7 linked regions of the Xenopus tropicalis genome follow. The protein of the gene in region 1 interacts with the protein of each later gene in a biochemical or structural test. Links are inferred from orthologs where the notes say so. Each region holds a gene or a part of one and is shown on either strand. Other genes may lie near its edges.

The links.
Region 2: the proteins of prkaca (region 1) and bad form a complex in vitro, tested with the Homo sapiens proteins (2 studies listed by BioGRID, with this or other methods). The link is inferred for Xenopus tropicalis from reciprocal best matches to the Homo sapiens genes PRKACA and BAD.
Region 3: the proteins of prkaca (region 1) and ube3a form a complex in vitro, tested with the Homo sapiens proteins (2 studies listed by BioGRID, with this or other methods). The link is inferred for Xenopus tropicalis from reciprocal best matches to the Homo sapiens genes PRKACA and UBE3A.
Region 4: of the proteins of prkaca (region 1) and rrad, one has a biochemical effect on the other in vitro, tested with the Homo sapiens proteins (2 studies listed by BioGRID). The link is inferred for Xenopus tropicalis from reciprocal best matches to the Homo sapiens genes PRKACA and RRAD.
Region 5: of the proteins of prkaca (region 1) and mapt, one has a biochemical effect on the other in vitro, tested with the Homo sapiens proteins (9 studies listed by BioGRID). The link is inferred for Xenopus tropicalis from reciprocal best matches to the Homo sapiens genes PRKACA and MAPT.
Region 6: the proteins of prkaca (region 1) and creb1 form a complex in vitro, tested with the Homo sapiens proteins (2 studies listed by BioGRID, with this or other methods). The link is inferred for Xenopus tropicalis from reciprocal best matches to the Homo sapiens genes PRKACA and CREB1.
Region 7: of the proteins of prkaca (region 1) and rela, one has a biochemical effect on the other in vitro, tested with the Homo sapiens proteins (4 studies listed by BioGRID and IntAct, with this or other methods). The link is inferred for Xenopus tropicalis from reciprocal best matches to the Homo sapiens genes PRKACA and RELA.

The regions. Positions count from the first base shown.
Region 1 is NC_030679.2:134,187,352-134,191,246, forward strand, and holds part of prkaca (cAMP-dependent protein kinase catalytic subunit alpha), read right to left. Parts: intron 1,651-3,895; coding exon 1,589-1,650; intron 1,167-1,588; coding exon 1,038-1,166; intron 910-1,037; coding exon 811-909; intron 1-810.
Region 2 is NC_030680.2:35,248,395-35,252,988, forward strand, and holds the start of bad (bcl2-associated agonist of cell death), read left to right. Parts: upstream 1-1,616; 5' UTR 1,617-2,121; intron 2,122-4,216; coding exon 4,217-4,367; intron 4,368-4,594. UniProt on the Homo sapiens protein: Promotes cell death. Successfully competes for the binding to Bcl-X(L), Bcl-2 and Bcl-W, thereby affecting the level of heterodimerization of these proteins with BAX. Can reverse the death repressor activity of Bcl-X(L), but not that of Bcl-2.
Region 3 is NC_030678.2:113,354,912-113,358,806, forward strand, and holds part of ube3a (ubiquitin-protein ligase E3A), read right to left. Parts: intron 3,710-3,895; coding exon 2,463-3,709; intron 1-2,462. UniProt on the Homo sapiens protein: E3 ubiquitin-protein ligase which accepts ubiquitin from an E2 ubiquitin-conjugating enzyme in the form of a thioester and transfers it to its substrates.
Region 4 is NC_030680.2:67,035,837-67,040,339, reverse strand, and holds the start of rrad (GTP-binding protein RAD), read left to right. Parts: upstream 1-1,343; 5' UTR 1,344-1,473; intron 1,474-2,454; 5' UTR 2,455-2,456; coding exon 2,457-2,811; intron 2,812-3,052; coding exon 3,053-3,126; intron 3,127-3,576; coding exon 3,577-3,781; intron 3,782-4,494; coding exon 4,495-4,503. UniProt on the Homo sapiens protein: May regulate basal voltage-dependent L-type Ca(2+) currents and be required for beta-adrenergic augmentation of Ca(2+) influx in cardiomyocytes, thereby regulating increases in heart rate and contractile force.
Region 5 is NC_030686.2:17,258,465-17,262,359, reverse strand, and holds part of mapt (microtubule-associated protein tau), read right to left. Parts: intron 3,615-3,895; coding exon 3,561-3,614; intron 3,033-3,560; coding exon 2,770-3,032; intron 2,620-2,769; coding exon 2,527-2,619; intron 1,868-2,526; coding exon 1,786-1,867; intron 1-1,785. UniProt on the Homo sapiens protein: Promotes microtubule assembly and stability, and might be involved in the establishment and maintenance of neuronal polarity.
Region 6 is NC_030685.2:49,782,734-49,787,189, forward strand, and holds the start of creb1 (cyclic AMP-responsive element-binding protein 1), read right to left. Parts: upstream 3,148-4,456; 5' UTR 3,014-3,147; intron 1-3,013.
Region 7 is NC_030680.2:38,474,791-38,478,685, forward strand, and holds part of rela (transcription factor p65), read left to right. Parts: intron 1-1,831; coding exon 1,832-1,980; intron 1,981-3,895. UniProt on the Homo sapiens protein: NF-kappa-B is a pleiotropic transcription factor present in almost all cell types and is the endpoint of a series of signal transduction events that are initiated by a vast array of stimuli related to many biological processes such as inflammation, immunity, differentiation, cell growth, tumorigenesis and apoptosis.

The sequences.
Region 1 (3,895 bases):
ATACAACTTGTTAGATATTCTCAGAGTATACATATGGGATGTCATACGGATAGCTGCTGGCACAAAATGGAAGATGTTGGCCATGCCTTATTTATATATGGGGGTGCCAGTCTTTCTGCACTTCCAGGAGCAATGCCAGCCCTCAGTTGTTGTATAGCATGGGATCAGTTATCCATAAACCCTTTATCCAGCAAGTTCAGAATTACTGGAAGGCCATCTCCCATAGAATTATTTGCTTATAATGGAGTCTAATTTTAAAAAATGATGCCCTTTTCTCTGTACCTTATACTTGATCCCAACTAAGATATAATGAATCCTTATTGGGGGCAGAACAGCCCTATTGGGTTTATTTAATGGTTAAATGATTCCCTTTTCTCTGTAATAATAAAACAGTACCTGTACTTGATCCCAACTAAGATATAATTACCCCTTATTGGGGGCAGAACAGCCCTATTGGGTTAATTTAATGGTTAAATGATTCCCTTTTCTCTGTAATAATAAAACAGTACCTGTACTTGATCCCAACTAAGATATAATTACCCCTTATTGGGGGCAGAACAGTCCTATTGGGTTTATTTAATGTCTAAATGACTTTTTAGTAAATTTAAGGTATGACAGAAAGATCCCTTATCCGGAAGCCCCCAGGTCCCGAGCATTCTGGATAACAGGTCCCATACCTGTAGTCTAAAGACCCGAAAGGTTTGAATCCTTTATAAACTCCCCACCTATTCCCTTTTAGCCCACCAAGTCATTGTACATCCTGCAATGCCAGCCCCACCCACCTTCCCCTACTGTTACTCCCCACTGTACCTTAAAGGAATACTCCAGCCGCACGAGGAATGGGAAATTCACAGCCTGCAGTATCCGCTTCTCATTCAAAGTGTGCTCGATCTGCTTCAACTTCACCACCTGGTGGGGCAAACGGAATGAGTAACTGGAAATTACTGATTGGGATTCCCCCTACAAACCTATAGTGGGGTACACCTCTAAACAAAGGACCCCTGCACACATGGAAACAGAAAATATTTATGCCATACCTTCTGCTTGTCCAAGATCTTCATAGCAAAGTGACTGCCATTTTCTTTGTGCCTGACCAGCATTACTCGCCCGAATGACCCAGTGCCAAGAGTTTTAATGCGCTCAAACTGTTCCAGGTGAGCTGTGTTCTGCAAGAGAGGTACAGGGGGAGAAGTGATACTGCTGCACCAACAAACAGACTGAGGCAGGTTTAGCATGAAATATAAACAGATCTTTTCCTTTGGACCCTACAGAGTGACTGTGGGAAGATAGGAATGATTACATTTCAGACTGACTACCAGTGGTAGAAGGCCAGGCAGCAGGGGCCTTTAGAAAGCTTACCTTGCAGTTCTTTTGCACAGCTTCTTGGCAGTTTTATGAAGCAATATGCTGTGCAACACAATCAGTTCCTGTAGGAAACCCTGCACATACTCTTAGCAATCAATAAAGAGTTAAATATACATATCTACTGTTTTTAAGCGCACACCTGATTGGTTGCCAAAGGTTACAAGACCTTGATAAACTTGGTTCATTACCACCCAACAACCCCAGCCAAATAAGGGTTTGTTACCTGTGCTGGATTTTCCCATTTTTTCAGAAAATCTTCTTTTGCTTTTGCCAGAAATTCTTTCACTGTAGAAAGAGCACAAAAGGATGAATGGGTTAATGAGGAAACAAATGGAGGTAACCAAGGAGAAAATGCACACTGGAGGCAGTATGAATGGAGGGATAAATGAAGGGCACAGAAAGTTATAGATCAACAGCACTGGCTCACGTGTGAGCAGCCAATGATAAGCGCTGGTACAGGGTTTATACTGCCTAGCCAACCACTCGCCTTAATGGATTCCAACTCCCAACGATCCCTGCCAGAGGCTCATGGGGGGGGCTATAAGTACAGTGCAGTGTTGCCAAACTGGCCCTGCTCTCCCACAATGCATTGTACTCACACATGAGGAAATCAGGGGTTATGGCTCGGCTACTGTATGTGTAGGGCCCAGCATGGCTACTAGTGGCACCAATAGCTATTCTTACAGAGCCCAGCATTGCTACTAGTGGCACAAATAGCTATTCTTACAGAGCCCAGCATGGCTACTAGTGGCACCAATAGCTATTCTTACAGAGCCCAGCATGGCTACTAGTGGCCCCAAAAGCTATTCTTACAGAGCCCAGCATGGCTACTAGTGGCCCCAATAGCTATTCTTACAGAGCCCAGCATGACTGACAGGCTGAGGAAGTGACCAATCCCTATGGCATTTCTTGGCTTTGAGCAAGGTGTGGGTTATACATTGAGGGCAGCGCTGGAGCACCTGGTGCACGGCTGCTTATCATTCCTTCAGTAAATAGCAATGGAATGCTCCGGGGCTGAATATGACAGGAAACCTGTGCAGAAGGCAGGGAGTTGCTCTGGAGTCGGAATGAGGAAGCTACAACTCCCAGCGTGCAGAGACGCACACAGACTGCTAGGAACGAGACAGCACAGACTGTTAGGAACGAGACAGCTCACTACTGAGACAGGCCCCAACTCACACTCACAGATATTCAACTTGTGCCCCATGGAGTAAAACAATGCAAACATTTAAGTACCATAGTGCAGACAGGCTAATTAAAGCAAATGCAGCGGTGGGATCTATTATCCAGAGACCTATTACTGAGCTCTGAAATACAGACACTTAGCAGCAGCCATTACTGCTCATAGCTGGCGCCACGACAGACGGGAGAAAGAGGAAGAACTAAATGCCACCACAGACAGACAGCTTATAGCCGGCTTAGTTATAAGGAGACTGCTACGGGCTGAGTTTATGTGACAGCCATACAGACAGTGTAAGGAAACAGACAGTCCCTAGTGCTACCAATCTAAGGAAAGAGACAGCAGAGTTGGGAGGCTACAGCAGAGAGAGATACGGAACTAGAGGAAGGAAAGAGGCAGCAGCCTTATCTGTCTCTATTTTGGGGCATTCCTCTATTCTGTGCAGCACACATATGGGCCAGGCTGGCTAGCAATTGTTGCCACCAACCGTCACTGCTAGTCAAAGTGACCACACTTGGGGGGAGCCCAATTTGCCTTTACCATCTCTTCTATAAGGGGCTCTATACAAAAAAACCCCAAAAAACTGCAGAGTCAGCAACTTCAAATGGGGGGTCACTACTGCTCTGTGAGGCTAAAATTGTATTGTTATTGTTACTTTTTATTACTTATGCTTCAATTCTGTCCCCCATACCTTCCATATTCCTGTTTCGCATTCAAACCACTGTCTGGTTGCTAGGGTAATTTGGACCTTAGCAACTAGATAGCTGCTACAATTCCAAACTGGAAAGTTTCAGAACAAATAGCTTATTCCAAAACCAATAAAAAAAAAATTGCAAACTGCTTTAAAACAGCACTCTCTACATAATACTAAAAGTTAAGTTACAGTTAAAGGGCTTGTTCACGTTTAACGTATGCTAGATGGAACTTTACAATGGGTTCCTTGGTTGCTGGGGTCAGTGATGGTCAGTCTGGTCTTACAGAGTGAGCCGTCAGCTTATTGGGCCGACAGATCTAGCTAAAACTCAGTGGCCCTTTCCAAAGCCAGCTATGATGGCTGTGCCCATCTAGGGCCACACAATGATGCAAAATGTAAGCTTTGTGAGCAATAGGCTACACTGAATCTGCTGCTGAATAAGATGGTTCTTACATGCATTTGTGGTAAAGTGTAATGCTGTGATAAGCCTACACAGGAAGGGGCCGCGAGCTGCACTGTGCAGATATACATAACAGCACATCTCATACAGAGGGGTATTAGTCTGCTCCCTACCGTATTATAGGCCACTTTCAGCTTTCTGTGTCATACACAGTTCCATTCTATAATCAGAGTCCCTTCCCAGAGGCTATTATCCC
Region 2 (4,594 bases), on another chromosome or scaffold:
CCCAAAAGAAAACTATTTGTGGGAGTGCTGGGGCCCCAAGTTATGTTCCAAGATAGTGACATCTGGGATAAACAATTGTTGTTAGTCTTAAATACTCTTGTAACTTTAGAACGATCACTATCACAACAAGGTAAGTTCCCCCAAGCAAAAACTGAACCATAAAGGGGAAATAGAACTGAAGCCATGAATCCTGAAATCATCTTATTTAGCTCAGCTAACCTGGGTAGGAAAGAGTTTAAGTTTGTTTTTTCAGGACCAGTGTATATTAAACTACCACGTAGCACTTGTCACTGCCTGATGAACTGAAGAAGCATGACTGCTGAACTAACCTAACCAGTCTTCACTTTGCCCGTAAGCAATACACAAAACTGATGATAATTACAGTTGCAGATGTAAATATTGTTATACAAATTGCAGGACACAATTTAGTATTATTACCCTTTGTTTATATAGTGCCAAAACATTTACACTGCACAGTTATTGTGTCTAATTCACATAATTTCCTGATCCTTGATCCCAATTAATAAGAGAAGAAAGGTAAAAATATGCAAAGGCTGGTATTTTCTCCAGAAACGTGGCAACCCTAAATGGAGAATATCAGTGGCATATCTAGTGTGCACCAGTCCCACCACCACAAAAATATCTTCAGAGGCTGCTTCCTATATAGTTATAAAGTCTTCCCATCCCGCTTGCAAGTATCAGAGGGGCTGGGGAGGGAAGACTTTGCAACTATATAGGAAGCAGACTGCAGTCTGCTTTCTCTATATTTACACCACTGAGGTATATGTCAACGGCCATGCGCCCCAATTGTGCTCCTTGTAGTCTACTGTCTGTAGTCTGCCCTATTGCTGAGTATTTTGGGTGCATTTTCCATGGCAAGGGTTAGCTTTAAGCCAGGTAAACAGAGAGCAGGATAACTCCAAAATATTTAATGCATTAACAGGTCTCACACAAAGGGGCATAACTAAAAGGGAAGCTGGAGGCCATTTGGACACTGACTTAAAAGGCATGTGTACCTTGAATGTGAAACATTGAGGTTTGCTATGTTCCTTTTATTATGTTTCAATAAATATTGACTTTTTACACCTATATTCTAAATCCTGTGATTGCTGACATTACTTTTACTATACTTTGATCATACGGCTCTTGCACCCAGGTCCTGACTCTGTTAGTGGAGTGCACCATTATGTCCTCTGACTATATGATTATATACGAAAAATGTTAAACTCCCAAAGTACTTTTAGTTATGCCACTACAGACACACTAAATTCACTGCAGTGATGCACAGCACTTCATTTGCAGTTAAAAAGCTATTATTTTTTCATGGCTCAGTCAGATCAAAAATACTACACACTACTCCCAATTTCATCAGGAGGCAGAAGCCAGGTAAGCTGTCTGTGTGCTTTTCCAACGTGTAAGGAAATGAGAGGTTTATCTGTTGGATTTATTGCCCTTAATGTCTTGTATGTGTAAGGTTGCTGAGCACTGAAATGCTTTCAGTGCTCAGTGCTACCTTTCACAACAGTTTGCATAGAAACTACTTCACGTTTAGCCTTGCAGCATGGAGGGAATTCTCCAGCCAATCATTAGTACAGGACTCAGAGGGTCCCGCCCACACAGCCGAAAAACAGGAAGAGGAAGCAAAACAAGGGGACAGGGAGAAAAGCAGTACTGGAAGACAGAGGCTGCTGGAGAGATAATATCAGAATCCAGGGGGAAGCAGTGTGCAGCCGTCTGGGAGTTGCTTCCTTCAGTTTCCTGGACGTTTTGTGTGTGTGTACAAGGCATCAGCAGCCAGTGTGAGCCTGTGCAGCAGCCGGACAGCCATCTTGACAGGGAGAGAGAGCTACAGTGAGAATAGGAAGCAGGGTTCCTTCTGAACCGAGTTATTTAACCCCTACCATGCCAGTGACACTGGGATTTCTGCAACCAGCCATTTAGCTGTGAGTCTGTGTTAGGTCTATGGACTGGGGAGTCCCTATGTTGCTGGATGTTTCCACAGCACTCGGAAGTGTCTCCATGATTTACTATAGCTGCCGCCTGCTAGGGTTCCATTGAGCAAGTGGAGCAGCTGAGGCGACTTCAGGGATTAAACTGTGAGCTCATCAGCACTCCAGCAGAGTAAGTAGGGCTTCCAGCCCAGCCTTTCACACATCTGACTGCACCCAAGGGAAGCCCTTACTGCCGTCACAGTGGGACACAGGAGAGCTGCTACCTTGGGGCAAGTTGAGCAACTTACCTTAGGTGGCAGCACCCGACAAATTGCCAGGGGTGGTAAAAAGACTCCTGGTAACTTATAAAAATCGGAATTTTAGTGCAGAGATCACTATTATGCTCTCTGCACTAGTGATTCAGCCCCCATCAACTTTCTCCAACGCAAAAAAAAAACAAAACATGGGGGGGGCTGGCATCACCTTGGCCGCCCCAGGTTGGCACTGAGCCCGAGACGGCGCTGCATCTGCATCCTGTGTTTCCTCCACACTAACAGACAAAACTATTTTCCCTAGTATAGCTTTCAACACATAGCAGAATCTGTCTTTCCAGAGAGCCTGTTGTTTAGGCTGCTGGTGCCATTTGCAGCACCTTAAACTCTCGTTAAAGGGCCCCACCCCGTTAGTATGCACTATAGCCAGCTGACAAGGAGTTGGGAACTTAGGTGTGCGCACAAGGAAGTTGGTAGGTTCATATAAGTACTGTTCTCAAGGTGTTGTTATAACCTTGTCAGTAAGGTATTATGCTATCTGACCACTTCCGCCTATATCACTGTGTAACCAAAGTGTCAGTGTCTGGTTTGACCTTCTCAGTTCAGCCAATCATACCTGATGCCTGCTAGTATGGATGTCACCTTTAAATTCACCTTTAGTTTTGTGTAGACAGTGGTATTTTGAGGCAATTTACAACTAATATTCACAATTTTCAGTTCCTTTTTTAATCATTTAGCTTTTTGTTTGTTGGACTAAACACTAAAAAGGTGGCCATACATCCTTTAGACAGAATCGGAAGCTTATTTGCCCATGTATTAGCATGAACGACGGGCCAGATCTCGATCGGGCAGATTTGATTTTTCTGTTAGATCGGGGACCACATTGGCTTGTTAATGTGGTCCACGAACCTAAGGCGCCTATTCCCACTGTTTTAATTCCATTGTTTGGCTCTAGGGCCAAACAACTGAATTAGCCCGATATCACCCACCCCATAGGTGGGCATATCAGGAGAAGATCCACTCTCTTGGCAATCTCTCCCAAACACTGTAGCACAGTGCAACAAGTGAGTGTATTCACTAAACAAAAGGTGTGGTGATTGGTCATTGTACTTCCTACTTTAATATGAAGCTTTTTTTTATATAGGTATAATTTTATTAACAACAGACAGACATTTATGCCAAACATTTGCAGAATACATTAGTTTTAGTTGGTTGGCCAGTGATACAACCATACTATGTGCAAATAGAGATATGCATATCACTTTGGTTATAGTACATGTTATGTAGGTTCAGTCCAGTCCTGCTTCAATCCACGGGGTCCAAATCAGGTCAAATTTAGTCTGTGTTCCTCTCGCTTCTGAGGTAAGATTAATTAGTGGGATTGCCTGGTTTACCAGTTGTTTCCATGATTTTATGGTCAGTAGATGTGGTCCCATCCAGTGCATGGCAATATGAAGCTTTTTAATGCTTAATTTATTAAATATAATTTTGTATGCTAGAAAAAAAGAGCTACTTTCTGTATTCTTTTTAATCCAGATTCATCCTCCAAAAAAATCAATGTTCCTTCCCAAATATTTTACAATCATTGTCATCAGTCTGAAAAATGATTTCATTTTTTAGGTTCTTGTAGTCCTATATCTCATTACAGAAGTGAATAACGCAAGCATTCACAAAATCATAGGCTGTCCTTGAAGAAAAAGAAGCCAATAAACTATATATAGTTTCCCTAGGTAAATTAAACACCCTCATAAAAAGTTCCCACTGAATTTAAAAGCGCAAATGAGGCATTGGAATTAAAAAAAGCCTTAACTTCTGCCACATTTAGTAACCCGTAGCAGCCAGTAGAAGCTACCTTGCTTGCTATGGGTTACTAGACAAATATCAAACACTGTGACAGGACTGATGCTGTTACATTTTAAATGAGACATGTGGAAACAGCTTAGGTTTATCAAAATAGAAATTAGCAGTATATATGTATGTATAACTCCCTGAAATTATTCTGTTCTTTTTTAGATGGCAGATTCATCCCCTTCAGCAGTTTTCAAGTTAGAGGAATTCGATAATGAGGAACAGGGATTACCTTTGCCTTTTGTGGATCCCCCTCGTGGGGCAGGCGTTCGACAACCTGTAGCTAAGAGTTCTCCCAGCCTGCGAAGATACCCAGGTGATCTTCTGCCAAGAAAATATGTATTTCATCTTTCTTCATAAGCATTATGCCATCTGTAATATTGAAATCTGACTTGCTATAAGATAAAATATATAGGCAGGCAGTGACTTCTGGAAAGTATGTTGTAAATGTCTTAGTGATAAATAAAGGGTAATAATAACAGTGCTGCTAGCAGCCGTTTTAAACTAGTAAGTGAATTATAGCATATACTGAAATAGTTGTAC
Region 3 (3,895 bases), on another chromosome or scaffold:
GTTACTGTTATAGATGCGAAATCTTTAGCCTTGTACATTACCTCCTTATATAAGACACAGTATTCATAACCATATTAGTATTTAGGGTTCTGTTTTAAAAGAAAATGAAAGCTGAATTCATTGTGGGGTGCCAATATGTTAGATACCACTATGCTAATTTAATTATCTGTGTATTATGATCCATCGCTAGCACTGAACTAATCTGTTCTGCCAACTTTTTTTGCAGCTATACGAGTCTAAGGGCATTTTTTGGGGGGCAAAACCTGACAAAAATTCCACTCAGTGCTATCCTTCACAGCCCGTCACTAACTAATTGTACCATTGCAATATTGTGGCACAAGTCATCTCTCCAATTCCCATAGTGCCTTGCATGTTCTGTGATTAAAGTCCATTAACGCAATTACATCATCTTCAAAACCACTGGCAAAAAAAAACAGTTTTTTAGGGTGGGCCCATTTAATAGACCTGCAAGACCTTGCTCCTGGGATTATAAGCACTTCCATTTTGGATGGAGAACAGTTGATTTCTAAATGACAAAAACCGCTTTCCACTGTGCATTAAATGAGTACTTTAATTTCACAATGTAAACAAAGAAATCATTTTTGAGTGGACTTCCCTTTTAAATGTTGATTCCTGCATTCATGAGCAATGTCTTTGGCAGGAAAGCTGCTTTCCTTGTTCCCAAGCAACAATCACCCACTGTGGGAAGCATTTTCCATAGACTAGTATATGGGAAGTTGCTGTGAGATAAGATTGCCATAATGATCACAGTGATTATCTGCGAGAGGACAAAGGTGATCGTATGATCAAGGGCAGTAGAGGAACAAAAAACCTTCTTAGAAAGTAACACTACACTTGTCAAAAGTATTAACTTTGTCTAGCACTGAGAAGAGTGCTCTAACTGGAATCAGCATGTATAAAGGAGAAGACACACAAGAGTAGTCACCACCTCTAGAAATTAATCTCCTTGAATGCTTTACTACCTGTCGAGAATTTAAATTGCCCTGTATGAAAATATATGTGTTGCGTTGGCTTTTCAAGACGCCTTGTGAGGAAATTTCGAGCGACTTCAGAAAGCTAAAGGGACGCATATGTTTTCCTAGCAGAGATTTACATTCTCACCAGGTAGGAAAGCATTTGAGGAGATTAATCTCTAGGGATGGTGACTAGTCTTCTTGTGTGTCATCGCCCAAAGGGAGGGACTGTAAGCATTTACAGGAAGCTGCACGAAAAACCACAAAATCTAAGGAAAAACATAGGGAACATAATTAGATTGGTAAATATACCGTAAATAATTGTTGAATCATTTACAGGTCAAATCTTTCCCCAATATGACCACCTTGGGTGGGCAATATCATGCTAATGCGATGTCCTAGGGCCAAACAATCACATTACAATGAAGGGGATATGAGTAGTCGGAGAGAGGACTGCATCACTGAGCTGATGCCGATTTTTGGCCAGATACTGGTCATGAAGGCCTGCCATACACAGGCAGATAAAATCTGGCCACCTTAACTTGTTGATTTTCATCAGATCACAGTAAGTTGTTCCACAGCCACATTCAACTAATTAGAAGGTAATCAGCAAAAAATGTAGAAGTGTTCAGTGACCATCTGGTTGCAGAACTCGCAAGCAAAGAGTCAAAACAGACTGCATAGAACTGGCAAGTGGATTTGATTTTAGCATTTTTAGGGAAAAAAAAACCAAACTAAAAATGACTGAACTGACCATTCATTCATGGTTTAAGAAGAACTACACTTTTAAATAACTTTCATTTTCTTGTGCTATCTGCCCTAAATTGATTCAACAGAAAATGCCTGTTGACACCTGAAACACAGAAACAAAAACTGTGACTTCTGTTTCAAACAAAATAGTAACTTAAGGAGAGACATAAGGTCAATTCAAATGTATTTTTTCAACATTAGAAAACAAAACCCTCAAATAAATATGGATAGAAATGCCAAATTTTATATACTAAACTTACTGCATCAGCCTAAAGTTTCAGCATCTCAAAAGTAGTAATAATCCAGGCCTTCAAAGTTGTCCAAGGAGCTCCCCCTTCTTGGATTTTGTTAGCCCTGAGTTCTGAGCAGTTATTAAAGGAGAACTAAAGCCTAAATAAAGTAGGCACGGATCCTTCCTGCTAAAGGGGTGCAGCTGCCTTGAGCTGGTACAGAAGCCCAAAACATAATGTACAACAATCTTGCCCTGCTTGTTTAGTTAAGGTTTAGTTCTCCTTTAAATTTTGTGTCTGTTCTGAGAATTAACAGTCAGGAGTTGTACACAGTATTCTTAGCAGAAGTGAATATATTATCATAAAATTAAAACTAAGGATCCTTTTAGATTGTACATTATTATTAAATATATTTATGTATTATTATTATTATATATATTATGTATACAAAATACATTGCAAATAGACAATTATAGATATTCTTTAGTAGATTTAGGATAAAACTTACCCTAACAAGAGCATCGTCAATGATGTGATCTCGCCGTACTTTGAGCCTCAAATAGGGGTTAAGTTGCTGTCCTTGCACTAGACTATACAGAACAGTTATTCGCCTTTCACTGTACATGCGGATTCTGTTGTCATAATACAGACCAAGATTCTTTGTAACTGCATTCAGGATAAAGGGGCAAGTCATAAAAGAGAATTTGTTTTCAGTCTCTACTTTAAAGAAAGTATAATCTTTGTCCATTTCTAGAACATCATTTAGTGGTTCGTTAACGAATTCCTCGAAAGGGATGAGAGGTTTCCTGCAATCAATGCTTTTAACACCAAGTTCGGTTTCAAGGGGATCTACTCGAGGGCCTTTTTTGTTTCTTCGTTCTTCCCCTAGCAGCTCCTGCAGAGTTAACTCACTGGACTCAGGAACAGGTTCATCATCTTCCTCTTCATTATGGTCAGTTTCAATCTCTCCACCAACAACATTTGAATAGTAAACCATTTTTAAGCACTTTGTTGCTGCAACAATAGCATCATCATCATTGACTAAATTTCGACTGTTGAACTCGTTACTTATAACTTTATAGGTTATAAGCTGCTGAAATGTTTCCATCATTCGGCGAATCTGCTCAGCGCTGTACTTTGACCAAAGACGGATCAACTTTGCTTGCGCTGCTAATGGCAATTTACTCATTGCTTTGCAAAACAACGGTAAAGCCATTTCCAGGTATTCAGGACTATGGAGATTACCATTCTCCATGACGATTATAAACAAATTGAGATAGTTGGGATCTCGTGAATAAACATTATGATAAGTTAAGTCACATTCCACATTAGGAGAAAGGTACACAAGTGCATTCAGAAAGGCAGTTTCTATTTTCTCATTAGAAAGTAACCTGTGATACACCCGTCGAACTGCTTCTATATCTAGAGACACTTCTTCAGGGCCTAGTTTCTGTATGTTGTTGTCTCCTTGTGAGTTGTCACTTAACCTTGAGGATGATGCTCCAGAATCCTCTTCCATTGCAGCAGCAGATGATGCAGCTTTTTCCTTTTCATCTTCATCCTTATCTTCATCCTTTTCTTGCAAGGATTTTAGCTCCTCCTTTGTATGGTGCTTTGCTTTTCGGAAACTCTGAACCAAAGCTTCTGCACTGGAAAATACTCTCCCGATCACCCGAATTAAAGGCGAGTAGTCCTCTTTTTCTCTACACAATTCAAGAATTTCATACACTTTTTCTTCAGACAGGAAAGTGACATCTAAATAAGTGGAAACATTTTGTTTTACTCAGCAGTTCTTTTGGTTTATAAAAAAAAAATATTTAGTGGAGGTTAAACTGACAATGCCTGCCCACCAGCCAACTAAACAATTTTCCTACAGGAATATTTTTACTGTGCATATAGCACATTGTCCCTTCTAAAAAATGAAACCTAATTTGGCCTAGA
Region 4 (4,503 bases), on another chromosome or scaffold:
ACACTTTTTTGGGGAAAAAGACAATCTTATCAGTTTCATGGTCCTTGGAAACCACTCTGCCACTGATGCAGTGTGAAGGTGCAACCGTGCAATCTTTCCCACACTGGGATTTGGACTGAAATCTAAACTTGAAAATAGTTATTTCGTCACTATCTTTCTTAAGGCTAATAGCACATGGGTCATTATATACTGGAAAAATCAAATCGCTGTGTTCCATATAGGCACAGAATCAGATATACAGAGGATTTAACAATGTATACTCCTGTATTCTGTAAAAAAAATCAGTATCTACACAAGTGCATGTATTTATAAAAACTTTTTTTTTTTAAGATAGATTGCCAAGACCAAAGCATTGGTTTTACAGGCCTTAATCATGGAGATTTTGATTGGTTAGGTTTGTTGATGTGGCCTGTACCTTGACGACCTGCTTGTACTACATTGTAATTTGTTTGGCCCAAGGTTGGGATGTGGCCCTTACCCCAATGGCCTGCTTGTACTGCATTGTGAGCTGATCGTTTCAGCCTGACATCACTTATATCAAGGTGGGCACATTGGTAATAGATCCGCTCGTTTGGCAACCTCGCCAATGTTTCTGACTCCTGCTGCTATTATGAGGCTACCTAACTTCGTAGCGTTGCTCATCTAGGGGTTTTTGTGCTCCCCACAAAGATTTCAAAGCACTTAAACTACTGAGCAGGTCTGGCGTTGTGCACATCTGCCTGGTAACTCCTAAATTATGTTATGTGGTCTTTTTGTGCCCCTTCTGCCATGGTACACCCCCTGAGACCACTTTAGGCAGCAGTGTTCATGCTGGAGGAATGGGAGGCCGGTGAACTTTGGAGTGAGGTTGTAAGATAAACCTGGCTGATGCTACTGGGAAACTGCTGCCAAAGAGGAAGAGGGAGGAGTCAGCAAAACCTGACAGCCTTACCTATCCTTCCTCAGAAAAGAAATGTCCTCTTACAGTTATTCATCATCTGTGATTCAGAAACACAGAGGCAAATAGGGTTTCCTCACCCCCCACTCCCCCCCCCCTTCCATGCAGTGCTGTGTTTTGTTGTAACTTGACGCCCTCTGTTTCACACTAGAGCCAGGGTAACAGTAATTCCTTCACACCTCCCCTATTCTTTGCTAGAGGGAGGGGGGCATTCACTCGTTGGGACAATAGGGTCTTAGGCGCTTCCATTTACAATACACTGACTAAGCAGCAGTCCGTGATGATGTCGCAGCCTGCACCAGATATGGAAGCAGGGAGGATCCTGCCTTCCCATAAGCTGAGGCGGCGCTGATGTCACATGCCGTGTTAGCCCGGGGAACACTTAAATAGCGAGGCTGTGTGTGAGAGAAACAGAAGGGAATTACTCCTCACTGAGAGATAGCCAAAGCCTCTAAACTAAGCCCAAGGGACAGCTTGCAGGGAATATTCCCTTGTTTTACTCAGAGGATCTTTCAGCAGCTCGGCACTTCTACCAAGTAAGTCAACATCGTGTGCTTCTGATACTGCCACTTCTGTGCAGTTGGTCTATTTGTGAGGACCTGCTGACAGCTGTAAATTCATAGGGACACAACATCCTGCTCACTGCTTAAATACCTTAATGGATCGATATTACGTGACTGGAGTCAGGAATTTACTTTTTGATTTAAGTGACCTTGGAATTGTTTAAGTCTTCTGAATAGTTAATACATTTCATAAAAAAATAGATACTTTTAATATTCTGACAGCTACGCTTTGAAAACGAATGTGTGTGTTGTTAATGTGCTGGGCTGCACTATGTTCATTGACACCCTTTCACTGCTGGTGTCAAAGTACTGTAAAGTAGATGCAGCTTTATCCACACTACTATTAATGTTATTATTAAATAATCATAGTGCTGACATATTAAGCAGCATAAACTGGGTCCTGGAACAAAACCGTGTTTCTCTGACTTTTTACCATTAAGTGGCTGCACTGCAGAATTTACTGAAAACATCATGTAAACTTCTCACAAAGTGTTAGCTCTTTCTTTTATAATATCAATAATGGACAAATGGAGCTTCTTGTGATGATGTGCCCAACAATTTCACATAGCAGCAAGAAAAGATAGATCACATATAGTTAAAACCATAAGGATTTAGTAATAATGACGGTACTATATAAGAATCTCTCAGAACTACAATTCCCAGTTTCACACGAGGAACACCAAAACATGCCCATCGCCGTTCTGTAGTGATTATAATCTAAGTGTTAAAAAAATGAAATTTCCAGAATTCCTCAGCAGTTCCAAAATGGAATGTTTCTGCTACAATGTTTGAAAGGGGGTTAAAATGAGAGTGCAAATTCCTGTCCTGCAATACATTCAGAAAGCTTTTAATCATGTGGTTTTAGGATTATCGCTTTTCAAGCCTTGAAAATGTGTCAGTACAGGCTGACTATTAACGTCTTGTGTGTGTCTGTTTTGTTTCCCCTACACTTAGAAATGACCCTCAACCGAAGTGACCGGTTTAAGAGCCTGGAAAAGAGGAGAGGCAGCATGCCATTCTCTATGCATCAGCAGCTGCACAGGAGAAGCATGCCCGTGGATGATAAGGAACTGCATGGCAAAACCCCGGCATCTCAGCTATCTAGCTTGGTCCGCTGCCCCTCGTACAACCCTTCAGATGAACATAGAGAAAGCTGGGCATCAGATTCCTCTGACTCTGTCATCTCCTCTGGCAGTGACTCTGAGGATCACGTGTACAAAGTCATCCTGCTTGGGGAACATGGAGTGGGAAAGTCTAGCCTGGCCAGGATATTTGGGGGTGTGGAGGATTTACATGATGTAGAAGAAGCAGGTGAGAATATTATTGAGACCAAGGAAATGTGTGTTTGGAAGAGAAGATGGAGAATTCGATTTATAACCAGACATGCACTAAAATGCACCTAAATGGTTTTAGATCAATATTTAGCCATCAAATCTAGTTAATAAACTTTACAGTGCAACCATGGCATACACATATATTATTGACAAATGTATATGTAAGTCTGTAAAGTTATGAAACCCCCAATTTGATTCTTTTTCTTTTTCATTCCCAGGAAATACATATGACAGATCTATTGTGGTGGATGGGGAAGAAGCCTGTCTTTTAGTCTTTGACATTTGGGAACAGGTATGTCATTTCCCACTATTTTCCACTATAACTACTGGTTTGGAAAGTGTTCTATTAAGAGAAACATTTCAGCCCAGCAAGTAACAGTATTCATAGGCATACAAAATTTAAATCCTATAACTTTTGTAACTTTCAACTTTACATAAAATAGATTGCTTAAGAATATAGATATGAATCAGACTTAAGACATTGTGGAATAAAGGACAGCTGTGACTTTCAGCTGTAACATCAGCATACATTGGAGAACTTTAGATCAACTTTTAGATAAACTTTAGATTGACCGTTAGGGCTGTAGAATAGGAGCTTTAAGCAACAACCTCGTTCTGGGAGTTTCACCTCAGTCCACACCACTGTTTTATTGCAAGGGCAAGGAACATTAACGCTAATAATTAGTAATTAAACCTTGATGCCAGTATGTAAAGAATAATGATTCTATTTTGTTGTTTTCAGGATGACAATCACTGGCTGCATAACCAGTGCATGAAGATGGGAGATGCTTATGTTATTGTTTATTCCGTTACGGACAAAGCAAGTTTTGAAAAGGCTTCTGAGCTCAGAATACAGTTACGAAGAGCAAGACAATCAGAGGATATTCCTATAATTCTAGTTGGCAACAAAAGTGACTTGGTCAGATCACGAGAAGTATCAGTAGAAGGTAAATTCATAATGATATCCATGCACGGAAAGCTCAATATAATATATATGTGTAAACATTTACTATGGGGATGAAAGTAAAATGGGTCAGTGAAAAGAGTTGGGAATATTAGTACTTTTAAAGTAACTTTTAAAGAGGTAAAATTAGCAAATATATATTCACCATTTTATGCTAAGGCATTTCCCAGAAATGCAATAATAATATCCCAGAGCAATAATACCAATAATAATAGATTTGCTGCATACTATACATGTTCCCTATCTATCAGTCCAGTTCTTCTTTGGCTTGGTATATAGTTTATACTGTAAAGAGATGCTGACCATATTATGGATATGATCATTACTTACAGTGACATTATATAGCACAAAGAAATATTTTTAATTATTAAGGACAACAGAAAAAAATAAGGGATGTATCTAAAACTGCACTTAGCAAGGATGCAAGTGTCGTCATATTCAGGTACAAAGGTTCAAACCTACCAATTGCATTTCTCTAAAATGTACCTTAGTTTTAAGATGATTTGGCAAACTATACAGGGTGCAAGCTGAATATTGTTAAAAGGACCACTAGGCCCAATAGGTACAATACCAAGTTACCAATAGGAACACATATGCTAGGCAGTAGATTGAGTTACGGTATAGTTTAATTGTAGGTTGATTTTTATGAAAGCAAAAGAAAGACAAGTTTAATTTACTCTTTTATCCCTGTTTCAGAGGGACGTG
Region 5 (3,895 bases), on another chromosome or scaffold:
GACCTTATACAGAGCGCAGCTGGCTTCTAAGCCAAGGTGATCCCTTGTCAGGCCCAGAAGATACATGAACAAGTCACAATCAGACATCAGTTAAGAAGGACATTATTTTGAGCATACAATATGCTGTTAAACTTTTTAAAAAAAATTGATGTAACATCGGTGATAGTGCTTTTCTGAACACTTTTGCAATTTATATTTACTTTTTTTTTTTTTTTTTTAAAAATCCAAGATATTAAGGGTTTAAAGTACTGTTAATATGAATGCATTTTGTTACAGCAGCACCACCTGCTGGTCAGTTTCCAAACACAAAGTAGTCACGGACGTTGTCAGGAGAAATTAAAAGGGCTGATTTGATGTTCCTCTCTTTATGAAAGATGTGGAAAAAGTTATCTGAAGTTTCTAATGTTTTTCCAAACCAAAAGAACATCAGAAAAGACCTTTTTCATTCTCCTGATAAGTTCCTCAACAACGTCCTCAACTACTGCATGTATGTATGTATGTATAACTTTATTTATAAAGTGCTACAAGGGTACGCAGCGCTGTACAATCTTACAATGTTATAATAAATACAATAAATATATATAAATAGACAGGAAATAAGTGCCATGTGGTATGAGACACAGTAGGAAGGAGGTCCCTGCCCCGTAGAGCTTACAATCTAAGTGGTTGGGTAACATACAGGCACAAATAGGAAGGTAAGAGTGCACCAGGTACAGGCATTTGCCCTTGAGCCCAGGACTGGGCAAAATAATGTTTTAGGGCTCCAGAAGGTAACAGCTGAGCTTTTTCTTAAAGAGAGTGGGTGAGTGTTCCCTACGGAGCGATTCAGGGATAGAGTTCCAGAGGTAAGGAGCAGCGAGATAGAAAGGTTTAAGACGAGAGAGCGCAGTGGGTGTGGATGGTGTAAAAAGACTGAGGCTCCGAGAGGAGCGGAGGAGATGACCAGGAACATGCAGGGAGACCAGTGAAGAAATGTAGTGAGGAGCAGAGGAGTGAAGGGCTTTGAATGTTAGCAGAAGGATTTTGTAAGCTATCCTTTGCTTAACAGGCAGCCATGCTAGAGAGATTGAGGTTGAGGCTAAACAGGTTTCCTCTTAGGAGAGAGCAGGAGGATCCTGGCAGCAGAGTTTAAGATGGATTGTATGGGAGAGAGGTGGGAGTCCGGGAGGCCGGTTAGTAGGAGATTGCAGTAATCTAAGCGGGAAAGGATAAGGCCATGGATTAGTGTTTTAGTAGTAACTTGTGAAAGAAAGGGGCGTATCTTGGCAATATTCCCCTCAGGTTTTGGCAGTGTTAATTAATAACACTGTCAATCCATATTAGAGAAGGAAAGTGACTGGTCAAAGATAACCCCAAGGCAGCGTGCTGATTTAACAGGGTTAATGGTCATGTCATCAATAGTAATGGTTAAAGGAGGAGAAGGGCTAGGTTTGGGCGGGAAGACCATGAGCTCTGTTTTAGCTAGGTTAAGTTTGAGGTGGCATTGGTTCATCCAGGAGGAGATAGCCAGGAGGCAGTTAGCAATCTGGGTTTGTACATCAGTGGTTAGTGAAGGTTAGTGTTCAGAAAGGAACCAGCAGGTGGTAATGTGTGCATTCATATTAACAGTTCTTTAACTCTTAATATCATGGAATTTAAAAATAATAATAGTAATGAATATCAATTGCAAATGTGCCTAGAATAACACTTTCATCAATTTCACATCATCTTGTTTTTTAAGGTTTACTTATCTTTAAAACTGGGCACAAGTTGGGCGAGGCTATGAATAAGTGTGGCCAGCGGTACCTGGTCTGTGGTGGATGTTGCCAAAAGATCCACACTTAGAAGTGATGTGTGTCAAGTCGATCGGCTTGTGAGTTATCTGTATCTGAAAGTGGACAGAAGAGAGAGAGAACAGAGTTAGAAACGAGCAAACGAGAGAGAGAGCAAAATCTAATAGGTCACCTGATTGCTAAAGTTTAGCAGCTCTCTAGGCCAGTGGCCCACTTCATACAAGAGCTCCCTCAATAAGAACCCTGCTGCCTCTGTACAATATGGCTACACAGCACATTAAACTCCCTGCGTTAGTCAGCAGTAAGGTTTATTGCCCTTAAATACAAGTACAGCTGTGTTTACTTGGAAGGGTTGAACTTGAGGCAGCAAATTTGGGCCATAGCAACCATATAGCTGCTAAATAAAAATCTAAATAATTAAAAAACCGCAAGTAATGAAAAATAAAGGCCAGTTGAAAATTTTCAGAGCACTCTCTACAACATATTTAATTTAAAAGTGAACAGCCCCTTTGAGCGAAGCCCCGTCTGCAACTGCAAGAGCACTAAAGCTTGCAAAATTGTAACCCTTAGTGCTTATTACAGAGCCTGTACTTAATGCCTGACATAGGAAAGGTGGTAAGTACAAGGCTTCTCTGCGTCTTGGGTGACCGGCAAGTTAGCGGGCAAGTAAGGATGTGTCGCTCCCTGCTCATCATGTGCCCTGTTGCTTTATCTTCATTGTCTGCATAGCTGTGTATAAAGAGGGGCCACTTACTGTGCCTCCCCCTGGCATATGTTTCAGATTGTCCTTTGACCCACACTTGGACTGCACACTACTCAAATCGATCTTCTTGTGAACTATCTGCACCTGTATAAAAAAGAACAGAGGTAAGTACATTATACAAGGAAAGGAATATGGGTGAGGGCAGTGAGCTCTATCGTGGTTTATGGAATTATATATCCTCTGATCTACTGCACCATAAATCTCTGGCCTTTGCCAAATCTGCTTCCCTGGTACCTTGCCGCCACCTGGCTGATGCCGAATGTTGTCTATTGAGCCGATCTTTGAGCGCACATTCTTCAGGTCAGGCATGGCTGCTGGGCTAGTGACTGGCTGCAGACGGCTCTTGGCAGATGCTGGGGATTTGGGAGGGGTGCGAATGACAGCAATCTTTTTGGGCTCCCGGGTTGGGGGTGTTTGTGAAGAAGAACGTCCAGTTGGTGTGCCAGGTGATCCAGGACTGCTGTACCCGCTCCTTTCACCAGATTTGGGCGATTCTGCTGCAACAAGGGTAAAACTGCATTAGAACTGAACGAGAGGAGAACTACATGACAATTTAGACAAATGGGGTCTGATCATGAAACTAGGAAACCTGAAACAAGCCTGGTACTGCAACACTTGTGGCTTCTCAGCCAGCTGTAATATTCAGCCCGTGGCAGCTGTGTGCATTTGGTTGTTCTAGACCAGTGATCCCCAACCAGTGGTTCGTGAGCAACATGTTGCTCCTCAACCCCTTGGATGTTGCTCCCAGTGGTCTCAAAGTAGGTGCTTATTTCTTAATTCCTGGCTTAGGGGCAAGTTTTGGAGGCATAAAACCTGAAGTACTGCCAAACAGAGCTTTCTGTAGGCTGCCAGTCCATATAGGGGCTACCAAGATCAGCTCAGAGCACCCACACATTGAATGTAATAATCATTATGCAATCGCACTATTGCCTATTAAACATAGCAACGGTATAGTCTGACAGTAGCAACTTAGTAATATTAATTACATGGGTTAATCTGCTCCCCACAGTATATGTGCCACTCACCTCTGTCTGGCTTGGCACCGCTGGGTGGCGGCTTTCTCTGATCCCTTCTGACAGCTGTTAGAAAAGAAGGTATTTATTACAGAAAGCCTTGCACTGTCCTACAGAACCAAGCCCACTCTCCTACAGAACCAAGCATGCTGTCCTATAGAACCAAGCCCACTCTCCTACAGAACCAAGCATGCTGTCCTACAGAACCAAGCCCACTCTCCTACAGAACCAAGCATGCTGTCCTACAGAACCAAGCCCACTCTCCTACAGAACCAAGCATGCTGTCCTACAGAACCAAGCCCACTCTCCTACAGAACCAAGCCCACTCTCCTACAGAACCAGCCCGC
Region 6 (4,456 bases), on another chromosome or scaffold:
CAGAGAAAAAGGAAATAAAATTTAAAAATTGGAATTTTTTTTTTTTTATAATGTCTATAATGTCTATAAAAGACGGCCTTTCTGTAATTCTGAACTTTCTGGATAATGGGTTTCCGAATAATGGATCCCATACATGTATCTGGAAAAAGTTGACTCAAAACTAAAACCTGCACAGGAGGTGTTAATACAATTGCTGAAGAACATATAAATCTCAGAGACATATACTATATGCACTGTTTTCTGTTCTATTTATGCAGATTTGCAGACCGTCCACAGCAAAATAAATACGCTTTACTTCTATACGGCAATGTGCTGTGTGAAAAGCAGCTCAACATTTCTGTGCTACTTTTGCACACTTATATATATGACATATCACAGGCCTTAAGACAGGGAAGCGTCTCATTATACAATATTTATTTCCTGCTATTTAGATTTATTTTATCTTATGGACAGACTGGGATTCACTCAGCAAAATATGCCAAAGGTATATACTAGAATTTGCCATACAAGACATTTCTCTATTATTATGTACTATAATAAAAGGCCACAGCTACAGGTTTTTAACAGCATTATTATACTAGGATGGGAGAGGTATGTGTCACCCTCATAGTGTTTCTATCAGTTTTGTTTTCCTTTTAGTAATCAAAATGAAAACCTGCAAAGCCCTTGCATAAAAAGAAAGTTTTCATCTAATGTATTATTAAAATGAAAACAACTTTGAAATATACCTCAGAGCTTAAGTGTATGATGATCTCTGCCTATTTATGAAAGTGTTCAATAACTAGAGTATAACGAAAAAAAAAAAAAAAATACGCATGCAGCTTATTTGGGGTTTCTGGAAAGGGGCTTTGAAAAGGCAGACTTACAGGAGAATGTTCAAAGTGTTGGGAAAAAAAAACAACCTATCCCGCCTAACAGGAAGTGACTGAATAAGCAAAACACAAATACAAAAAATAAAATGCAAGCATTTTTGTTTTTAACTTTATTGCATTTCAAGGGAAAAACAGCATTCTTATGGGGGGGAACCCTTTGAAATCCATCTATATGCACTGTAAAGTTTACTTGGTGTTTAAAAACATCTCTAAAGAAGTCTATAACTGTTTGCCATTAACCAAGAATATAAAACAGTATTCTAATTACTGAAATATTTAAGCCTTAAATTAAAATATCACAAATAAAGCCAAACTATGTTTGTCTGCATTCAAATTAAATCAATTAATATTTAAGCGATATCAGGTCACTTATAAATGTTAGAATTAACGAGCACACTAATATGTACCAACCCCCCTGAAGCCATGTTATAGGGTACCAGCAATGAAGTTTTAGCAAGTTTAATTGTGTGTAAATGAGTGCTTTGGGTATTCACATATTAGCCCCAAACGGACAAGCTAGAACTTGGGTCTCTAAATTGACCAATACAAATTACAGCTTTCTAGAACCTGGGGTCCTTAGCCCTCTACTTGGCAGAATGTTTGAGTACCACAAAAGTTGTGCTTTAATGCTTCCCTGCAATTACTAAGGTGATGTAGATTTCATACTTTTGAAGTCTAATCATACCTGACATACTTTAAATGCAGATCTGCATTAAGTAGACAATACTAAATAAAACAAAATGTAAAGATCTATTATAAACAAATTTTATTCTCACTGTCCAGATGTTTTCATCAAACAAAAAGTAATGAGCAAGCATGAGGGAAATAATGTGGAAGTTCAATAAGGGATTGCAGTGCAACAAAATATATGGACAAGAAAACCGTACCAGTCTTGGATGAAACATGGAAATCTCTGAAATGTTACAATCTTCATTTCTTCATGAAAAATGTGTCAAAATACATACACAGACTGCCAGAGAGACATTGGGGCCAATTCTGTTTTTAGAGCTTCAAACATTCAACACAGGATAAAAAAAACTGCAGAACAAGGGTCACATAAATATGAAGCTTTAAAAGCAGGATTAGTGGAACCTCCCTCTGGTAATCTTGGTCAAAGAGCTCACCCTCACCAGTCTACACTGACCCTTGATGCTGCTGTTACCCAACCAGTGGACAACTATTAAACCATGACTAGAAGGATGCCCGGGAGCTGGGGTAAGAATATACAGTAAAAAAATAAAAATATCTACCCATTGCTGCCAGAAGAGCAGACAGTTGGTGAACCCTGACGATCAGATATTTCAGGAACCCACTAACAATTCGAAATGAAGTCATGCTCAGCAAAAAGACCTGCCTGCTTTCCCTCTGTACCAACTAGCGAGCCACTCAAGTCCAACCTGCGGCCCTTCAGCTACTAATATGCAGCCCTCAGCTCATCCTGACAGGACCTTTAGTTCGACCCCGGCTGGAGTGCCGCAGGTAGGAGCATTGTTTATAAATAATAACCTAAGAGTCACGTTAAACTTTAAAAAGAAATTTAACTTTAAAAAGTAGTGTTAAAAAATATGGGAGGAAAAGAAGAATTCGTTCATCGCATCATGAATATTCCCCTTTGAATGAAGACTATATTGCGGGAAAACATGAACGATACTAGTCGCATGTATCTAACAAGCCACAAAAAAAAATATATATATACATACACACATATATAATATATATATATATATATATGTGTCGTGATAAGCACCGTTGACTGTCGCGACAGTGAAAGATTGCGGAGGTCTCCCCACCGGTGACCCCCTGTGGCTGTATCGCACACCCCAGCTCTTGCCGCCGCCGGCTGCCTCCTCCCGGCCGCCATTATCCTTTGTTTCGCGGCTCTTTATTTCACCCCCTCCGCACGGTCTCCATTTTTACTATGGCGGGGTAAACATTCTGTATTATCTAAGGGGGTAAAAAGGGGAACCATGACAGGCGGGAAAGCAAGCTCGAAGGAAAAGCCGGCGCGCTGTTCTTGGCAGCCCCCAGAAATCCCTCCCTACAATCAGTTGCCGCCTGGGTATTTGTGAAAGCAGCCGGCGGTGAGGCCTGCTCCATCTCTTTTCCTCCATGCCTCTCCCTCTCCTCCTCCTTCCTCTTACCGGGTTACACTGCCTCTCCTCCGTCACTGCTTTCGTTCGCGGCTGGGATCTCGCTGGGCTTTTTTTTATTCTCTTCCCCACCACGTAACACACCGCGTCAAACTACACCTCCGCCGCGTCACTGCTGCTCTTGCTCTCTCTTCTTCCTCTTGTGGTGGCGCTAGTTTTTTTTTTTCTTAAGCTCAGGCCCGGGCGCGGCGTCAGGGCGGCGGGCTCTTTTCCGACAGGACACTGAGGAAGGCCTCGACAGACTAGGCAGCCAACAGCAGAGGGCGGGGCGGAGCTAGCGCAGGGTGGAATCTGGGCAGGCGCAGAAGTTAGGCCTTAGTAAAACCTTTCTGCTGCAGTTGTACTACAGTTCCCAATACCCCTTTCCGACACTGTAAGCGGAAACCCGTGTATCTACTGATGCGACAACTTGCACAGGCTGCAGTAAAGCTACAGAGCTAACAGGCAGTTAAGGTTGGTGAGTGTGGGAATTATGAGAAACGGGCTTTGGTTACCCGCGGCGACCTTACCTGTGCTTTGGCTGCTTTGGCTGAATGAACAGTGCCGTTGTTGTGATTAAAGCTATCAGTTTAGTTTTCATGTTTTACAGGTTAGTCTGATAGTTTTATTACGATTCTAGAACAGATAACGTTACCCTGTCGCCCTTCTTCTTTTTAAATCGGAGCTGTTTCATGAAGTGCTTATGACGCTATAGTGTACTTGCCACCTTGAGTATTAGGTGGCCTGATGAAGGGGTTCGCCCCCGAAACGTTGCCTTGAATAAACACGCAGGGGTTATACCCCACTTGCACTTTACTTGTTGTGCCGGCTGAAATCATTTTTACTGGACTTTGCGGAGAGTGCGGACTCTCTGGGCCGTGCACCAAGTAGCTAACCTGTTGGAGGAGGTAAGGGTGTGCTGGTGTAACTATTTTTCCATTGCAACTTAAGGTTGCCATACGGGGCCAGATTTCAGATGCTAATTCTGTTCCTTAAGACCGACTCTGCAGCTTATTTGCCCCTGCATGGGACCCTCCGACAGAACCCCCCCAACAGATATCTGGCCAAAAATGATCCAGATGTTGATTGTACGTGCTTGATTTTTTGCAGGATCGGGGACTGCATTGGCTTATTGATGTGGTCCTTGATCTGGCTTTTCCTATCCCCTTCATTGCAATGTGATGGGGCACGATATCACCCACCCAAGGTAGGCATATCGGGTGAAAGATTTGCCCGTTTAGTGACCTTGCCATGTATGGCCAACTTTAAAGGAACAGTAACATCAAAATATGAAAGCATATTAAAGTAATTACAATATAATGCACTGTTGCCCTGCACTGGTATAACTGGTGTGTTTGCCTCAGAAAGACTATTATAGTTTATATAAGCAAAGCTGCTGTGTAGCCATGGGGGCAGCCATTCGAATGAGAAAAGGCACAGGTTACTTAGCAGATA
Region 7 (3,895 bases), on another chromosome or scaffold:
TAAGCCATTTAAAGGTAATATGTTCCACTGTATTTATTGTGCATTGTTAAAGTAGCCTTACACTACTTATTTGGCGAGGTCGCCAAGCGAGCAGATCTTTTCCTGATATGCCATCCCTAGGGCCAACAATCGAATTGCAATAGCAGACATAGACGCCTTCTGATCGGAGACCGCATCAACGAGCCGATGTGCTCCCTGATCTGACAGAAAATCAAGCCTGCCTGATCGAGATCTGCCCAATTTGAGGCCAGATATCCATCGGGTAGGCATCGGGGTGCAGATAAGCTGCCGAACCGGTTTGGACCAGAATCGGCAGCTGAAATCGGCCTGTGTATGGCCCCCTTTAGACTTCACTTGCAAACAGTGTGCAAAGCTCATAAATACTCACTTGAAAAGACACATTGCTATTCAGACATTTAAACAATTTGTACAGATGAATACAAATCCTGCAATAAGTGTATTATCTGTGATTTAGATGTTTTAACGTGACTTTACAAAATATTTGTATGCAAACAGCATTCAGCCCCCCCCCCTTTTGAGCACTAACAGTGTTATGTGTTTTGAGTTCCAATGCATACCGGCTTTACACACAATTTAGGTGTAATTTTTGGTGTCACATTTTTTCTGGCACATGTTCTCTGTTATTCAGGTCAGATGACACTTGTGTTTCAGTTAATTAGTCTGAGAGATACTCAGCTGGCATGACCTGGCATAGCTCGTTTGCATAATGGCTTCTTTTGTGCCACCCTACTTTAAAGGAAAGTGTTTATGCAAAACACTTAATATCGCTGATGCAGACCTACAGTGAAGTGAGGTGGCGATGCATAATGCTGTTGGACTGCTTCTTATTCTGCACATCTAGTTAAAACAGAAGGAAGCAGAAAGTGTAATTATATCCTATGGGAGGCTTCCAAAATCATGCATTGAAGGTTGAAAGTCAAAGTTTTTTGCGGCGTTTATGATCGTTCGGATACGAAAATTTCAGAACTTTCGGATTGCGCCACGATATTTGCGTACAAACACAATAGGAATTTTCTCACAATTAACACACATCCAAAATTATTGTATTTATTCCGAATTTTTGCCAATCATACTTTTAATTAGCCGAAATTCGGACTTTGATAAATCTGCCCCTGAGTGAAAAAAAGACCCCTGTCCCTTTTAAAGGAGTGGTTCACCTATAAGTAAACTTTTAGTATGTTATAGAATGGCCAATTATAGTTTTTGAACAATTTGCAGCTTTTAAATGGGGGTCACTGACCCTGTGAGGCTACAATTTTACTGTTACTTTTTATAACTTTTTTTTCTATTCAGGTCCTTTCCTATTCATGTACCAGTCTCTCCTTCAAACCACTCCCTGGTTGCTATATAATTTGGACCCTAGCAACCAGATAGCTGCTGAAACTCCAAACTGAAGAGCTGCTAAACAAAAAGCGAAATGACTAAAAAGAACACCGTTTTATTGCAGGATTTGTTGTTCATTAAATGAACAAATTGTTTCAGTGTCTGAATAGCCATTGTTGTCAGATAATGTATGTTTTTTCATTTTCTGCTGTAAGACACACTGGCATAGTTGGTAATGGCCTACAAGATAGCGGTCAACTTATGGGCTCTGTTTGACTTAACTGATGGCTGTACTTTCATAGCTCTTTACCCAGCTGTTTATTAAGGGAAGTGAAAAATTTTTTAGCCTTATTGATCATTCTAATCATCACTTTACCATCATCATAGTATTTGATTTGTTCATTCATGGTTTTTGTCATTTGCACATTTATTTTATTTATTTTTTTATTGTCTGATTGATTCCTTCCATTCTTTATGGTCATTTTAGATAAACCATTACCAGGGCTCAGCGCGTATTCGAATATCCCTAGTTACTAAGGATTCTCCACACAAACCTCACCCTCATGAGTTGGTAGGAAAGGACTGTAAGGATGGATATTATGAAGCTGAACTTTCCCCAGATCGTAGTATTCACAGGTAATGATTGGTTTGGTTACACTTCTGTTCAAAGGAATTGTCAGCCCCAAAAATAACTTTTTGCTTAATTAAACAAAACTTAATTCTAAGCAATATACATTCATTACTTCATTCATTCATTATTTTTTTTAGTTATTTGTATATATAATTGCTATTAAAAGCAGTGTCTACCTGTCCTCTCTAGTCTCTGCCCTGGTGGCTCTGGCACTTGAAGCAATGTAACACAAGGCAGCAGACTGACAGACCTTGTCATGATATAGGCCTGTAAGGGTTAATCAAGCAGGCCAAGGTATCCCAAAATCTTCCAGAAATGTGCCAGAAAGAGATATATAACAGGCCTCTGGTCACTAGGGTCTGGAACCAGCCATGTGTAAAGGCCTCGCATCCTGAAATGCCCAACTCTAATCCCTGGCTGATAAGAGCCATGCCATGTGGGGGAGTGAAAGCCCACGTGGGGGTGACTTAGAGTTCACATTGGGACCCATCATAGGTGATGTGGAGGTCACACCATAACCCAAACTCACAAACATTTATTGTCCCAGAACCCATACTATTTATACTAGAGGTACCAAAACCTGAGTATATGTTTCATTTAAGATGGCCTTTCATACGGGTCCAAACATCACTGGATTTGGGCACTTGGTTTGTCAGATAGGAGTATCTGGGCAGGGGCAGGTCACACAGTGGTGATGTTTAGTCTGTATGGGACCGGTGGGATCATTAAGAATTGATGAATCTAATTTCATCATGTTCCCACAAGGAGTTATGGACATTGGTATCATTGGACAAGTCCCATACACTCAGTCCATACACAGGAGGCCATAAAACTCACACTGTGTCCTGCTAATGGTGACACCCCTTGCATTCCTGAGGGAGGGGGGAGTGTCCAGTTACCTGATCCCCCTGCAAACTGGGATAAATAGTCAGCTCTTCTGAAGATATTATGTGGAGGACCAATTTCTATTGGAAGTTTATCCTGTGGTTTCCCCTTGCCTCCAGGACTAGAAGGACTTTGCTTGGTATAGTATAGGACTTCTATATTTTTCCCTTTTTATTTTAAAACTGTTTGTACTTGTTTTATCGTATGTCCTTTGTTGTAACATCTTGTTTTAAACTTGCACTGTTATACTTTTTATAATATTAAATATAAAATTTAATAAGTTTGTCCTTGATGCTCTAAAACGTACCTAACCTCCGAGTGTGTAACTGTGTTGTGTGCCTTAGCCCTCTGTATGCTGTGTGCTGATTAACCCTTTGACTGCTGGTAAGGAGAGTGTGTGTGTCGGTTCTTTACATTAACCCTTTCTCTACCAGTGTGCTTGGCATCTCTCATCGCCAGTGTAAGAAGTATGAAAGTGGTGGCAGCAAGTTGTGTATGAGTTTGTGAGCGTTGGTTGGTCTTTGGGGTGCTGTGATGCTAGTCTGACCTGTGTGTCAGGTGTGTGAGACTGAGCAAGGGACCCTCTAGACAGCCACGCCTACAGTCACGTGCATCTGAAGTGGCGTAATCGTGACAGACCTGCCTTGCTGGAGGAGCCTGGCACATGCAATTTTGTTAAAAAGTAACAACCAGGATTTCGGCAAATGCTGCTTTCAATAGCAATTACGTTTACACAACTTTTAAAGTAGTAATAATTTTTAACGAATTGATATTGGAAAGTTGCTTAGAATTATGTTTCTAATTTATTAGGCAAAAACATTTTTTGGGGGTTGACGTCCTTTAAGATTAAAAAAAAAAAAATGCTCTTTAGTAGTAATGTCTCTTAAAACATCAGCATTCTCTAAAATGTTATTATTATTGTTCCTACGCCAGGTTAGTACCGCTTTTGGTGTGTGTCTAAAACAGGGGTTCACAGACTTTACAAGTGTATGGTTCTATTTTGTATGCTTCATCTCTGTGATCTAGTGGCCATCA